Lonchura striata: one gene and its partner. The protein of the gene in region 2 interacts with the protein of the main gene of each other region in a biochemical or structural test. Links are inferred from orthologs where the notes say so. Each region holds a gene or a part of one and is shown on either strand. Other genes may lie near its edges.

What was found.
Region 1: the proteins of HIF1A (region 2) and KPNA6 form a complex in vitro, tested with the Homo sapiens proteins (2 studies listed by BioGRID). The link is inferred for Lonchura striata from reciprocal best matches to the Homo sapiens genes HIF1A and KPNA6.

The regions. Positions count from the first base shown.
Region 1 is NC_134628.1:975,024-981,929, forward strand, and holds the start of KPNA6 (importin subunit alpha-7), read left to right. Parts: upstream 1-3,891; 5' UTR 3,892-3,954; coding exon 3,955-3,958; intron 3,959-6,906. Other genes in the region: BSDC1 (BSD domain-containing protein 1), read left to right, coding at 13-116, 342-374. UniProt on the Homo sapiens protein: Functions in nuclear protein import as an adapter protein for nuclear receptor KPNB1. Binds specifically and directly to substrates containing either a simple or bipartite NLS motif.
Region 2 is NC_134608.1:6,158,047-6,165,759, forward strand, and holds the start of HIF1A (hypoxia-inducible factor 1-alpha), read left to right. Parts: upstream 1-4,695; 5' UTR 4,696-4,849; coding exon 4,850-4,884; intron 4,885-7,713.

The DNA.
Region 1 (6,906 bases), on a different chromosome or scaffold from region 2:
TTGTGCTTCCAGGCTCCAGCACGGATATCAGCGAGGACTGGGAAAAGGATTTTGATCTGGACATGACAGAAGAGGAGGTGCAGCTGGCGCTCTCCAAGGTGGAAGTGGCTGGGGAGGTGAGTCAGGAGAGGCAAAACTGCCCCCCAAAAAGCATCACCAAGGCCTCGGGGTGCTGGGATGAGTGTGCAGGTTTCCCAAGGGGAACAGAGCAGGCAAATCCCTGTTGTGGGAGTGTGAGGATACATCAGGTGCCCTGGGAAGGAGGAGCTGTTGAGTTACAGAAACAAACAGCTGAGAACAGCTCAGAAACAGCTCAGAAACGGATTTCCTCTTGCTTGCAGCTGGAAGATGAAGAGTGGGAAGACTGGGAATAAAGCAGCTGCTTCCAGTGTGTGTCACAGGCTCATTTCCACCATCGAATGTGAATCCAATCTCGGACCGGCTGTTCCTTTGTGTGTGACTGTGCTGGGGGTTGCAGTTCCAGGCTGGAGGAGTTCCATCCCTGCAAAAACCTGGGGGCAACTCAAGTCACCCCTTCAGATGCAGGAGGAGGAAGCAGGAGGTCGCTGGCACACAGGAGCCTGACTTCTCCATAGGTCCTAGAGACTGGCCAAGCCAAAACTGACCCTGCCGTGTTAGGGAGAGGCAGAGTGAGGGGTCCCTGGGGCCAGCTGGGCACTCAGAGCCCTGCCAGGAGTGCTGGGTGCTGCCAGGCTGCCAGCTGGCTCCTTCCTTGCTTGTGTGTGCACGTGTAACCTACAGCTGAGAGGATCCTGGACGTGGCTGTGCCTGCTCTGCAATTCCCACCTGGAAAGCAGCACCCAGGGAGGGCCTGAGGGCTGGAGGTGCTGCAGAAAAAGGCACTTGGCTCGTGGCTTTGACCCTGGAAGGAGCCAAACCCCCCTGCCAAACCCTGAGCTTCTGCCTGGCTTTTTGTCTTGGAAGCTTTTTCTCGTGGAAACTCCCGTTTCCAGCAGTTCCTCAAAGAGCCAAGGCCTGCTGCTCCCCACCTTTTGCAGCTGCACCACCTTCCTGCGCTGGGTTTTGTGTCTTTCTAGTGAAATTCTCCAGGCAAAATCCTCGTGGCTTGCTCTTACTGCAGCCCTGCTGGGCTGGCAGTGGTTTGGGTCAGCTGGGAGCAGAACCCCTCGTGTTGGTGGCCAGTTCAGCCCAGCCTGACCCACTGAGCACTTCAACCTCTGCTTGGCCAGCCTGGGGAGAAAGAAGCTCCCAAATGTGGGTGATCCCTGCTGGCAGAGGCCGTGTGTCCCCATCTGACCCCTGTGCCACCCGTGCCAGGCCCTGCAGCCACCACGAGCTTTGCTGTGCTCACTTGGGTTCCTCCTCTGCTTGCTTCACCCCCCTCAGGCCTCTTTTTGGGGGCAGTTTCCTTGTCACAACACGAGATGTTGCTGCTGCACGGTTATCCCAAGGGGACGGTGCCCTCGCTGCTCTCCCTGGCCTTGGGGGTGCTGGGGTGACACTTTGTGCTGCCCTTTTCAGGCCTGGGGGTTCCTTGCTGGGTTTGGACAACACTAAACGAGGTGCACGTGGAAGAGTTGGGGTTTTAAATTTGGGTTTTCCTTCTTTGGGGTGGCTCCTGGTGGGAGCATCCCTCTCCTGCCAAAGCCTTGTGTCCAGCAGAGCCTCAGCTTGTCCTGGCTGGGATTGTGGTGGGCAGGGGACACGGGGGACACCAGTGGGGACCTGGGGCTGAGGCTGCAGCATCCGTGTCGCTTCCTTTTCTTCTTTAGCCGAATTAACCCTTGGGTTGGTTGTGCAATATTCTCCGTTCTCGAACTATTCCACATCTCCCTGAGCCTTTTCTAGCTGGGGTGAGAAACCAGGAGCAATTCTAACAGCTGGTAGTTTTGTAACGACGACTTTCTCCAAACCTTTTGCAGTTAACAGCAATTAAAGGAGTTCTCAGAGTCTCTGCCTGTCCCGGGTGTCCTCATTTCCTCTAGGGTGGGGATGACACAATTTTCCTTTTCTCACATCTCCTTCAGGACAGGGAGAAGAACCTGTGGGAGTGTGGCCCCTGTTGATGGAGTAAAAAAGTAACTCTCCTTAAAAAGGACAAAAGTTTCCTCAATTTGGTTAAAAGACACCTCATAGGACCTTGGGGACCACCTCAAAATTAAGGATAGATGTTATGGTTTGACATTGGCGCAATGTTGGTGTTCTGGAACTAAAGAGAGTGAGTTTTTCTGGGAATTTTGTTAATCACCCCTCTGTGTTCTCAGAGGCGTGTCTACCTTTAATTGGTCAATATTTAAATTGAACTCTTCTTTCCGGGAAAATTCTTTTCCCGTGTCAAACCACGACAAGTAGACAATTGGACAGAAGCCGAAAAGATCCTCGGGGATCTGCTGGGGAATGGCCACGGGAACGGGACACGAGGGACAGCACAGAGGGGACAGGGCAGGAGAGAGCACGGGTGACAGGACAGAAGTGATGGGACACGAGTGACAGGACACGAGTGACAGAACCCGAGCGGCAGGACAGAGGTGACAAAATGCGAGGACATGAATGACAGGACAGAGGTGACAAAGCACGGGTGGCAGGACACAAGTGGCAGACAGGACACGAATGACAGGACAGAGGTGACAGGACACGGGTGAAAGGACACGGGTGGCAGGACACGAGTGACAATACATGGGTGCCAGGACAGAGGTGACAAAACATGGATGACAGGACACGGGTGGCAGGACACGGCTTACAAAACACGAGTGACAGGACACGAGTGGCAGGACATGGGTGACAAGACAGAGGTGACAAAACACGAGTGACAGGACATGAGTGGCAGGACACGAGTGACAGGACAGTGGTGACAAAACATAGGTGACAGGACACGGGTTCCAGGACAGAGGTGACAGGACACGAGTGACAGGACACAGATTACAAAACACGGGTGATAAGACACAGGTGTCAGGACACAGGTTACAAAGCACGGGTGTCAGGACACGGGTGTCAGGACACGAGTGGCAGGACACGAGTGACAGGACACGGGTGACAGGACACGGGTGTCAGGACATGGGTTCCAGGACACGGGTGGCAGGACACGAGTGGCAGGACACGGGTGCCAGGACACGGGTGCCAGGACAGAGGTGACAGGACATGGGTTACAAAACACGGGTGATAGGATACGGGTGTCAGGACACGACTTACAAAGCACGAGTGGCAGGACACGGGTGCCAGGACACGGCTTACAAAGCACGGGTGCCAGGACATGAGTGGCGGGACACGGGTGGCAGGACACGGGTGGTGGGACACGGGTGTCAGGACACGAGTGACAGGACACGGGTTACAAAACACGGGTGATAGGACACGGGTGTCAGGACACGACTTACAAAGCACGAGTGTCAGGACACGGGTGGCGGGACACGGGTGGCGGGACACGGGTGTCGGGACACGGGTGCCAGGACACGGCTTACAAAGCACGGGTGTCAGGACACGGGTGCCAGGACACGGGTGCCAGGACACGGCTTACAAAGCACGGATGTCAGGACACGGGTGTCAGGACACGGGTGTCAGGACACGAGTGGCAGGACATGGGTGGCGGGACACGGGTTACAAAGCACGAGTGGCAGGACACGAGTGGCGGGACACGGGTGGCGGGACACGGGTGGCAGGACACGGGTGGCGGGACACGGGTTACAAAGCACGAGTGGCAGGACACGAGTGGCGGGACACGGGTGGCGGGACACGGGTGGCAGGACACGGGTGGCGGGACACGGGTTACAAAGCACGAGTGGCAGGACACGGGTGTCAGGACACGGGTGGCCGCCGGGCCGCGCCGCCGGTGCAGTTCCGCCGCCGCCCGCTGGGGGCGCCCGGCGGCCGCTCCGCGCGCACAGCTTTGGCCCCGCGCGGCCGCCGTCGGGCCCGCGCCCCTCCCGGTGCCGCCATATTTTGGCCGCCGCCGCCGCCACCGGAGCCGCCGCCGCCGCGATGGGTGAGGGCCCTGAGGGGCGGGCGCGGCCCGGGCAGCTCCGGGCACGGCGAGGGGATGGCGTGGGGCCGGAGAAGCCGCCCCGAGGCCGGGCGGTGCGCGCAGCCCGCCCGCCCCGCGCCGCCGCCGCCGCCGCCCTCGCCCCTCAGCGGCGTCCCGGGCGCTCCTGAGGGCGGCGGGGCCGGCGCGGCCGCTGAGTCACGGCGGGGTCGCTGCGGGGCCTGGGGGGGTCCTCGGGGGCTCCCGGGGAGGGCGGCCCGGGGGCTCTGAGCGCTGAGGGCAGCGCCGGCCGCGCCTCCGGGGAGCTCCGGGCTGGGCGGGAGCTGCGGGGCGTGAAGGGTGAGGCAGCCCGGGACTGGGGTGAAATACCGCGGGTTTGGGGGTGCCGGGGTGAAATACCGCGGGTTTGGGGTGTCAGGGTGAAATACCCCGGTTTTGGGGGTGTTTGGGTTGAAATACCCCGGGTTTGGGGGTGTCGGGGTGAAATTCCCTGGCTTTGGGCGTTTCGGGGTGAAACAACCCGGTTTTGAGGGTGTCAAAGCGAAATACCCTGGGTTTGGAGATCCTGGGGTGAAATATCCCATTTTTGGGGGTGCCAGGGCTGCAGTGCCCGGCTTTGGGGGTGTTTGGGTTGCAGTACCCCGGGTTTGGGTGTGCCAGGGCTGTAAGACCCCGAGTTTGGGGGTGTTAGGGTGAAATACCTTGGGTTTGGGGGTGTTAGGACTGCAATGCCAGGCTTTGGGTGAAATACCCTGGGTTTTGGGGGTGCTAGGGTGAAACACCCCGGTTTTGGGGGTGCCAGGACTGCAGTGCCCGGTTTTGGGTGAAATACCCTGGTTTTAGGGGTGCCAGGGTTGCAATACCCTGGTTTTAGGGGTGCCATGGCTGCAGTGTCCAGATTTGGGTGAAATACTCTGGTTTTGGGGGTGTCAGGGTGAGATACCCCGGTTTTGGGGATGCCACGACTGCAGTGCCCGGTTTTGGGTGAAATACTCTGAGTTTGGGGGTGCTGGGGTGAAGCACCCTGGTACTGGGGGTGCCAGGGCTGCAGATTCTGGCTTTGGGTGAAATACTCTGAGTTTGGGGGTGCCAGGGCTGCAGTGCCTGGGTCCAGCTGGCGGGAGCTGTTGGAGCCCAGTTTTGGGGTGTCAGTGCTGTCACTTTGGGGTGTCAGCTCTCTCTGCTCCATTTTCATCCTCCTGCAGCTGCTGGGGCTCAGTCCTGAGCTCCCCCAGAGCTCAGGGGTTCAGGTGAGAAATAAAAATAATATTTCTGAAATAAAAATCCAGCTCCAGCCCTCCGTGTCACTGGGCTGTCCCAAATAAATCCCAGCTCAGAGTTACCCCTTCCAAAAGTTTTTTAAAAATTCCTTTTATTTATTGAATTCCTTTAATTCCTGCAGATTTTTGGTTTGATGTGCCTGATGTGGGAGGTCCCAGCTCAGGGAGGAGGATTTTATTTTTTAATTTTTCTTTAATTTTTTTTTTTTTGAGGATTCCTATAAGAAGACAGAGTTTGAAAAGATGAGTTGGAAAAGCCCAGCCTTGTAGCAGCCGTGTTTTCATTAAAATTGAGTGAGGATCTTCTGGAAATAAAGATTAAAATGTTTCCATTTTCCACCTGCAATGTTGTCTTTTAACCAGGGCTGCTTCAGAAGCTTCATGGCTTTAAAGCGGCGAGTTTAAGTTGGATATTGAGAATAAATTTTTTCCTGTGAGGGGCTGGGATGGATTTCCCAGAGAAGCTGTGGCTGGAATTACCCCAAGCCAGGTTGGAAAGGGCTTGGAGCAGCCTGGGATGGTGGAAGTTTTCATCTCCTTCCAAACCAGGGATTCAGTGAACCTTCAAAAATACTCTGTGATCATTTAAAAATGATCATTTAAAATTTATTTCACTTATCATGATCTCACCAGGAGCTTTTCTGCCTCCTGAGGTGAAGTCAGTGACCAGTCTGTGTGTGGCTGCTGCACCTCCCAGCCCTGCACAGCTCGGAAATTTTAATTTATGGCTTCAGATATAAAACCTGGGCTGGCAGCTCTGAGGAGAAAAATGTCCTGGGGCCTGGTGGGAATGGCTGGAAATTCTTGGGGCTGTTTTATGTGGAGCTGAGAAGTTTGTGCACAGGAGCTTCCCCTTCTTCCCACCCCTGTTAGAGCCGAATATCCTCCCTGTTTGAATTATCCTCCTGTAACTTTATTATTTTTAAACCAGCTAAGGTTGAGTGGATTTTTTTTTTCATGGTTTTAAATCATGATGCTGTTGGAAATTGTCATTTGCATGGCAAAGGAGGAATGAACTGATGACATCTTTAAATGCCTTTTTTTAGTGCTGCTTAACCCGTGGAGCAGCATTAATGCTCAATTCTCAATAAAACCCCCGTTAATGCTCAATTCTCAATAAAACTCCCGTGGCTGATGAATTTTACAGTTAATTGGCTGGTTTGCTTTGTTTGCTTTAGCTCAGCAGAGCAAACATGAACTTTGTCAAGGGGGAGAGTTTGATTATTAAAATCCTGTGAGAGTGAAAGTCCTGATTCCTTCAGGCTGCTGAGGTCCAGGTAAATCTGCTTAGCAAATCACACAGCCCTGTTTGTTTGTGAGGCAAAGCACGTGTTGGAAGGGATGGATTTATTGGAATTTCATATCCCTCTCTAATTATCTCTGAATGTTTCTGGTTGGTTTTAATTGGAACTCTCCTAGGTCGAGTTTGAGTGGATTCAGTTCAAGTTTTTCCCTGGTTTTGGGATTGTTCTCAGCTAACTCTTGTGCTTGATCAGTCCATTTTTTAAAGGAAATCAGAATGGATAAACCAGCTTGAAGAGGACTTAAAGCCCTCAAATTTTGGGCTGAAAAGATCAAAATGAGGAGCAGGAAGCATTGAGAACTGCCCTGAGGAGTTGCTGCCTTCTTTTTCCAGCAGGGCAGGGACATTCCAAAAGGATTCCTAATCCT
Region 2 (7,713 bases):
AGTGTACACTGACCCAAGCAGACTTTAAGAGATGGTCATAGTTCAAAAAATGGGGATTGTGCAGATGCAAAAGGAAAAATAAACAAGATTTTGGCACAAGAAGGAAAGAAGAAGCACTGAGGTTAGAAAAGACACAAGGAAACAACAGCTGCCAAAGGGAGATTGTGTCTCCCAACACGTACTCTCATTTCAGAAAATATTTCATATTTGAGAAAGAGCAGCATTAGGCTTCCAATGCCAACGGTTTGCTTTGAATTAGATTCAAATTTCAGTTCATTTTTCTATTGTAGAATGAGTTGATCACCAGAGCTCTCAGGTTCTTGCACTGTTAAGCACAGTAAGTTGTAGTAACAACTATTAGCCTGTGTTACAGAGCCCTGGGTCTGCACAGCATTTGAGACCTCGTGGAATTCCTCTGTCAACTCAATACTTCACAGTGGTGCTGTGAGCAAGACAGGTTTTTTGGTCAAATATGGATAGGCTAGAATATACCCTTCATTATAGCTCAATTACTGAACCAGTGAGTGTTAACTCCCTACATGTAGGTGATGCCTTAAGTTGTAATTTTCATATTTTTCAGATTCTGTACGGCATTAGTAGATAGCTCTGAACTTCATAAAAATTGTTAGCAAGTTCTCTTCGCAGTTTAATTAGAAAAAACAATCATTTTCCAGCCCAAGAACCAAGGACACCATTGCAGCTTCAGCCCCAAAAAGTATAAACAACAGGAGGATAGGACTTAATAACCTGAAGCTGTAATTGAAAGCCGTTCCCAATATGGAAATGGACCAAAACTTATAAAAGTGTGAAAATTCGTGACCCATAATCCATCTTGGGTGTAGTGTTGGCCAGGCTTTTGTGCTGCCCAAGGTGTATACTTTGAAGACTTAAAATAAATATGTACTTTCCTTTAACACTGTCTAGCTTTTGTTCTAGGTAGCCTCTCAAGGCAGCATAGGGGGCTCTACAATGAAGCAAAAGCCCAGGAAAGCCAGTGCTGAGGGCAGGTTGCTTGTGACATCCCCAGTGATGTGAGCTGCCAGCTCCAGAGAGACAAACAGAGTTTCTCTTTAACACCCTCTGCCTGCCCCAGTGAGTCCCTGCTCAGAAATGGTGAGTGGGTTTGGGAGGTAAGATGTCTTAATTAAATCCCTGATTTTTTTTCCCACCGCAGTCAGAAGTTCTGCCAGTCGTTATTGATAGGGATGCACTTGGATCCTGAGAGTAAATGCCTCCAGAGCCCATCGCGGTGACACGTGTCTCTTCAGCAAACAGATCCGAAGCCAGGGGCAGGAGCACTTCTCACATCTTCAGCCGGACTTGTTCTGCTGCCCAGTCGCTGCCGCTGTCCTCCCGAGCCGTTCGCTGACTCATCAGCTTGTGCATTTGCCCTAATTAGTCATTTGCAAGCACCATTGTGCTCAGGAAGTTCTCTAACGTAAGCGTGAGTGGGAACTTAGAGCAGCAATAAAGGTCAAGAAAAGTGACTAAGGCATCATATACTGGAATAAGTTTCTGTTATCAGCCACTGGGAAAGTGGGAAAGAAAGTGTATATGCAGACTATTAGAGGAGTGACACAAAAGTTTAATAAAGGGAAGGATGTGTGTGAGGGAGAACATTTGCTTAACATCTCTCAAGAACTGCTACAGTATGAAATGCTTAATTGCAGAACAAGTTTCCACTAACACCCTTCAGAAACACAGCTGGGTTTTGAAGCATTATTCTTTATTATGAGCTCGGGGTAAGCATGTTTGGCATGAAAGAAATGTGTCTCGTAAGGAGACCACAACACTTACTCACAACTCCCCAGACAGTTCATGCTGGGAAGTCTGATACCTTTGAACAATCATTTGAGCAGCATTAGCAAAGTGTAGACTGGAATTTTCTCCAGTGATTTTTACTCAGGGGTCACCAACACATCCCGAGCTGTTATGTCCAAGTGATTTAAAGTGAGCAGAACCTTAGGTAAGAATACTCAATGATAAACCCTTTTGATGTATTGCACATTATGTGAATTTGGATAGTAGTAATAAAAGTGCACAAGTGAACCCTAAGACATCCATGCTTATAGGCACTAAAATTGTCATTCAAAGAGTCACTAGAGTGAAAACACAATCCTATTGGGTAGGGTAAGGTGGGTTCTGTAGCTTATAACTCAGCAGTCCCTGGTCCAGACTGCATCAAGTGCCTCTTGGTCTTTGAAGGGCACTGAGATTGCAGTCAAAGTAAAGAAGAGGCTTTCACTTTCAAGTGTGCCAGGCTCACCAGGAACCACTTCAACCTCAATCTGAGCGATTAGAGAAGCTGCAACGGCTGCTCTGAGTTGCACCAGCCTCCTCTAAGGCACGGGAAGTTCCTCTGTTATCACCCCTTCACTACCAAAAATCCCCGGATGCCTTCCAGGGGCTCTGGTGGGGAAGGTGGCATTGAGCTGGCCTTGTCATTTCTGCACCCACCAGGAGATCCCTCCCCATTTAGCCAGAAAATCCTCTAGGGGCTGTTATGGTGACTCTGTGAACAGACTAAAAAAACCTACACAAGCTGCAGTGCACAACTGAATTTCTTACTATGTCTGAGCTGCCTAAACTTCATTTTGAAAGATAAAGTTGTCTGTGAGCCCTTGGGGAGGGCTTCTTGGTACTTATGCAAGACACTTGAGGTTGAGTCTTGCTTAGATTGTTTTTCTTCTCAAGGCTTCAGTAAGCACAGAACAACAGAAATATCAGTAGTTCACAGCCACACTGCCATGGGCTATTGTGTTGTCACAGCTCATAAGCAAAGCAGAGCTGGGCTTTGTCCATGTTTGGATGCAAAAACCTTGAGGGAATAAAAGTAGTCAGAAGCACCTGTGCCTCTTCCACATATCTGACTGCTGTGGGCAGAAGCAATCATTTTCATACAGGAACTCCTTGTGATTGCTAACAAATGTCACAGTCACTTCTTTTTCTTCTTCTAAATAAAAAAATAATAATAATAACCCCCCCAATACAGAACACCCATGACTGTATGCCTAAACCAACCTGGAAGTTGGGAATCCACAGCAGAAGTGTTAGGAAGGTGCAGTACTGAAACACCATCACTTTGCCCTGCAGGTGTTTCTTATGTGCACACAGCAGCTAAAGAATGCCACTCATGCCTGTCAAAGCTGCTTTTTTTTTAAAGGTATCATTACTGCTGAGCTGCAAACCGAGTAGTCTCATAAGGTTCAGCTCCAGATGGTCACTTGAAGTCCTTGCTAGTAGGAACCCACAAGATGTAAAGGAACGCCTGAGCTCTGTGGGGTCACTCCACCTGGAACTGTGCCTTCCCTGCCTCCCCAGAGTGCTTACCCACACATGACCCTGAGCTAAGGGTACAGAGCTAAGGCTCTTAACTTTAAATGTGTGGGCTCTGCCCCAGTTTTCCTCTCCTTGCTCTCCCATGGCTGTATCCTGGCTCCTGATCCAAGAGGCCACTTGCCTGTGTGGCCATGTCAGTGCCAGGTGTCCAGCCCCTCCTGCTGTGCCTCCAGGGCCAGCTAAGGTCAGCAGGAGATCCTGTGGCTCTCAGGTGAGCAGTGCCTGAGGCCAGGCTTGCCATGGGGGGCACAGGGAGAGGAAAATTGGGCACAGGCACTGGGAAAATGGCATTGGATCTAGGCCAGCCTGGGTGGGTGGCAGGGAAGGCAGAGGGGTCACAGTGCCTCAGCACAGCCTCCTGGCTCTGCTGTTGGGTTTGCTTTGGGTTTGGGAAGTTGTAAAACTTGCTCGAAATGTGCTTAATTACCTGTCGGTTCCCCTTCTGGGCTGCCCGGCTGTTGAGCTGACTGTTCCCTTTAATTAATGTGAAGTTCTGAACCCTTTAACTGGAAATGGACTAGAAAATGTCCTGTGAGGAGTGGCTGCGGGACCTGGGTTTGCTTTGTCCAGAGAAGAGGAGGTGCAGGGGGTGCTCCATCACTGTGTAGAACTCACGGAGAGGAGGTGTAGGGAGGTCTCTGCTGCCGTGGCTGCAGTGAGAGGACAGGAGGACATGCTCTTAATGCACGATAGGGAAGATTCAGGTTAGGTAGAAAATAAAAATGTCTCTGTTAGGATGGTCAGGCATGGGAATAGGCTCTTCGGGTATGGTGGAGTCACCATCCCTGGAGGTGTTTAAGAGGCGCTGGGGATGCGATTTAGGGGCTGCAGGAGCAGTGCCAGGTGTATGATTGGACTGGATGATCTTAAAGGTCTCTTCCAACCTCGATGTTGTAGAAACATCCCGGGCTTTTACTGTACTACACCTCTGGGAGAGGCAGCGGAGTCTAGCACTGACCAAAGATGAAAGGAGGCGATAAAGAAGGGACCATCTCCTCGCGCTGTGCCCACGGGGGTGCGATTTGCGGCGGGACCCGCACGGGCCCCGCCGGCGGGCGCGGTGGGGCCGAGGGGCGCTGTGGGGCCGCTGTGGGGCCGGCCGGGAGCGATCGGGCCGCGGTGGGGCCGCGGTGGGGCCGGCCAGGAGCGATCGGGCCGCTGTGGGGCCGCGGTGGGGCTGCGGTGGGGCCGGCCAGGAGCGATCGGGCCGCGGTGGGGCCGCGGTGGGGCCGGCCGGGCCCGGGCCCGCCCCGCACGCAGCGCCGCACGTGAGGCGCGGCCCCCGCCCAGCTGAGCGCTCAGCTGACCCCGCGCAGGGGCCGGGCCGCGCCGCCGCTCCTCACTGGCGCAGCGCGGGCCCCGCGCCGCGCCCGCACCTCCCCGCAGCCCGTGCCCCGATGCTCTGAGCCCGCGCGGCCCCACACCCGGCTCGGCGCCGCCATCTCCCCGCCACCGCCATCGGAGCCTCGCGTCCCAGGGAGCCGGCGGGAGGAGAAGCCGTCCCGCCGCCATGGACAGCCCCGGCGGCGTCACCGACAAGAAGAGGTAGCGATGCCGCGCCGCCCCCCGCCGCTCTCTGCTGCCGGGCCCCGCCGCCCCCTGCTTTGTTACCGCCGCCCCCTCCTCGTCCTCTTCCCCGCCGCCCTCGCCCGGCCCGCGGAGCGCTCCGCTCTTCCATTCCTCCTTCTCCTTCTCGTCCACGTCGCCATTTTGTCGGCGGGGGGAGCGGGCCGGGGCTCGGGGCCGGGGGGAAGCGCCCGGGCTCGGCCGCGCTGCCCGGCAGCGACCCGGGGCCGCTCCGCTCCCGGAGACGGGCGGGCAGGGATCGATCGTGCCCCGTGCCCGGCGCGCTCCCAGCCCGCCGTGCCCCGGCTTTGTGCGCAAAAGGGCCGGCTCGCATTCTGGAGATACTCGGCTTTTAAAAAATCCCCAAAAGTCGCGCTGGGGAGGTGTAAGGGGGGAGGGGGGGGCGGATGGACAATGTGAGTTGAGGAGTATGAATAATTCACCGAGGATTGTAAGCGCAAATTAGAGGAAAGGGTGGGGGGGAATAAAACCCTTAAAAGCCTTTGTTAGGCGGTGAAGTTTAAGGAGCCGGGGGGCTCGGGTGAGCAGGTCCCGGCGGTGGGGCTTTGTGGAGGGATTAATTGCCGCGTTCGCCATCTGCAGAAGGTTTGTTTATATGGATATCGATACCTTTTCTCGCCTTTTAATTATTCGAGATGCGTTTTGCCTGCCCTTGTATCCAAGGGTCATCTGAGCAGATTAAGCGCAGTAAGTGTTCCAGCGTGTAAGTTGTGTCGGGAAGGAGCCTGGCCGCTTGTAAAATGGATGGTGAGCTTTGTGCCGGGCTGGGAGGAGGCGCCGGCGGCCTCGGAGCGCCTTTGGAGCCGGTGCCGGGGAGGGATGGGAGAAGCGCCTCTCGGTCCGGTGAAATCCCAGCACGGGGGCACCCGGGGTGGCATTCCACCTCTGGTTTCTCTACTCCGGGAGGATGGCTCCTGAGGAGCCTGTGAGAAAATGTTGCAACCAAAATGATTAATCTGCTCTTTGCTCTGATGCCCTAATTTAGTGGCAGGTCTAGGAAAGGGGTTTGAGAGTTGTTTTCTGAGACTTTTATTTTGGTTTATTGGGCTTTTTTGTTTATCTTTTTTATCTTACTTTTGCCTTTGAGCATTTGTTATTTTTAACTTACCGTTCTGCCCCACTGGAAAACTTTTTCTTTTTCTTTTTTTATTTTTTTTGAATTGCCTTATCCTGGATGTAATCTGCTTTCTTCAGAATGCAAGAATGAGTATGCAAAGCTCATCCTTCCTTCCTAAAGGCAGGGCTTAAGAAAGAGAATTTGTTGTTTTCTGTTTCATGCAGACAAAGTTCAAAGTCAGGAATGTTTCTTATAAAGGAATATTCAGATTACTCCTGTTGCAGGGTTTTAATGGAAAACATAGAGCTGTGTCTGTGGTACATTCATCCTGGGGGCTGTGGATGTACAGTTGAGCGAAGATGGCTAAGCAAAAAAAGGAAGGATATGAGCTCAGCAGAGAACTTCATGAAAATAGAAATGCTTGCATTTCTCAAAAACCTGGGTTGTTTTTGAAGGGTTTAGGTTTGATAGTGTCCATATTCAGAATACCTTGAAGGGAGAAGTCCTTTACGTCCTTTTCTTTATCACCTTTGATGATAAAACTTTGGCTAATTGTATATACAGTACACCTCAATTTTGGCATGGGTTAAGATTCTTTTATTCCTTGCCTCTCCCTCTGCTTGTATGTGGATAGTGTTTATCTCTTGATAGTTAATGTAAAGCTTCTTATTCACTTAATTATATGCTGTGAGATTCAGAAAATATGGAATTTGCCCAAGTTTATGTCTCAGTCTTTAAAGTGAAGTTTGGTCATAGCAGTATCTGAAGGTGTGGATTTTTATACTGGCCTGTTGAGTCAATTTTTTGATGTGGTTCCAAGCTTCTTGTATATGTACAGGGGTCAAGATTCCCTAAGAAATCAAGTATCACGCCATGATTAGATACTGAATTATTTGGGTTTTAGCCATTCTTCAGTAGTTGTATCACTTTGATGTGCTCCTGGGTTTTCCCCCAGGTGCTCAAGGACTGCGTTTCTATGCATGGAGTGGGTGAAACAGAGTTGTTGGGAGCTTTGTTTGCTCATCCACTCTCATTTGAACCAAATTTAAGGCTTTTGGTGAGAAGTATGGGATTTTTCTCAATATTCTTTTAACAAACTCCAGTGTGCAGATGGCTGATGTAGTGAAAAGCTTTTCCTCGGGTCTGTGCTGTGACACTTCACTATTAGCAGAGGAATTCTAGTGTCTTTTTAAGTAAACAGTCATTTAGGGTTATGGATTAGTCCTTACTTTTGTAGTGGCTTGCAGCTCGTAGGTAACGCGGAGTCATTTTGTTAGTGTGCTGTAAGTCTTTAGAACATAAAATACATATTTTAAATGCTATAGGTACTAAATAAATATGGTAAGTGATTTTTGGAGCATTCATTCTGGGTCTTAAGATGGTATAAGCCAATGAAATTTAATATTCTGACATGGGTGCCTTGCAGAAGAACGTCAGCTTTTCAGTTCCTCAGAGTTGGGCCTTGAAACTTATTTTTTAGTGTCTAAAGGGGATGATTTGGAAGATCAGGGATTTTCTGCTGGATTTTTGCCACCGAAGTCCAGCTCCAGAATCTGTTTGAGAAGCCTGTACCCTGTGCTGATGGCTCTGAAGTGCAATGGCTACCCCTGTTTTTTCTTAAACGTGTATGAGGTCTTTAGGATTGTGTGTACCAGTGCTTTTGTCTGTTAATTTCTCTCAGCGCTGGGGGAACTGAGCCACCATTGCTAGAGTCGAAAGTGAATACAAAA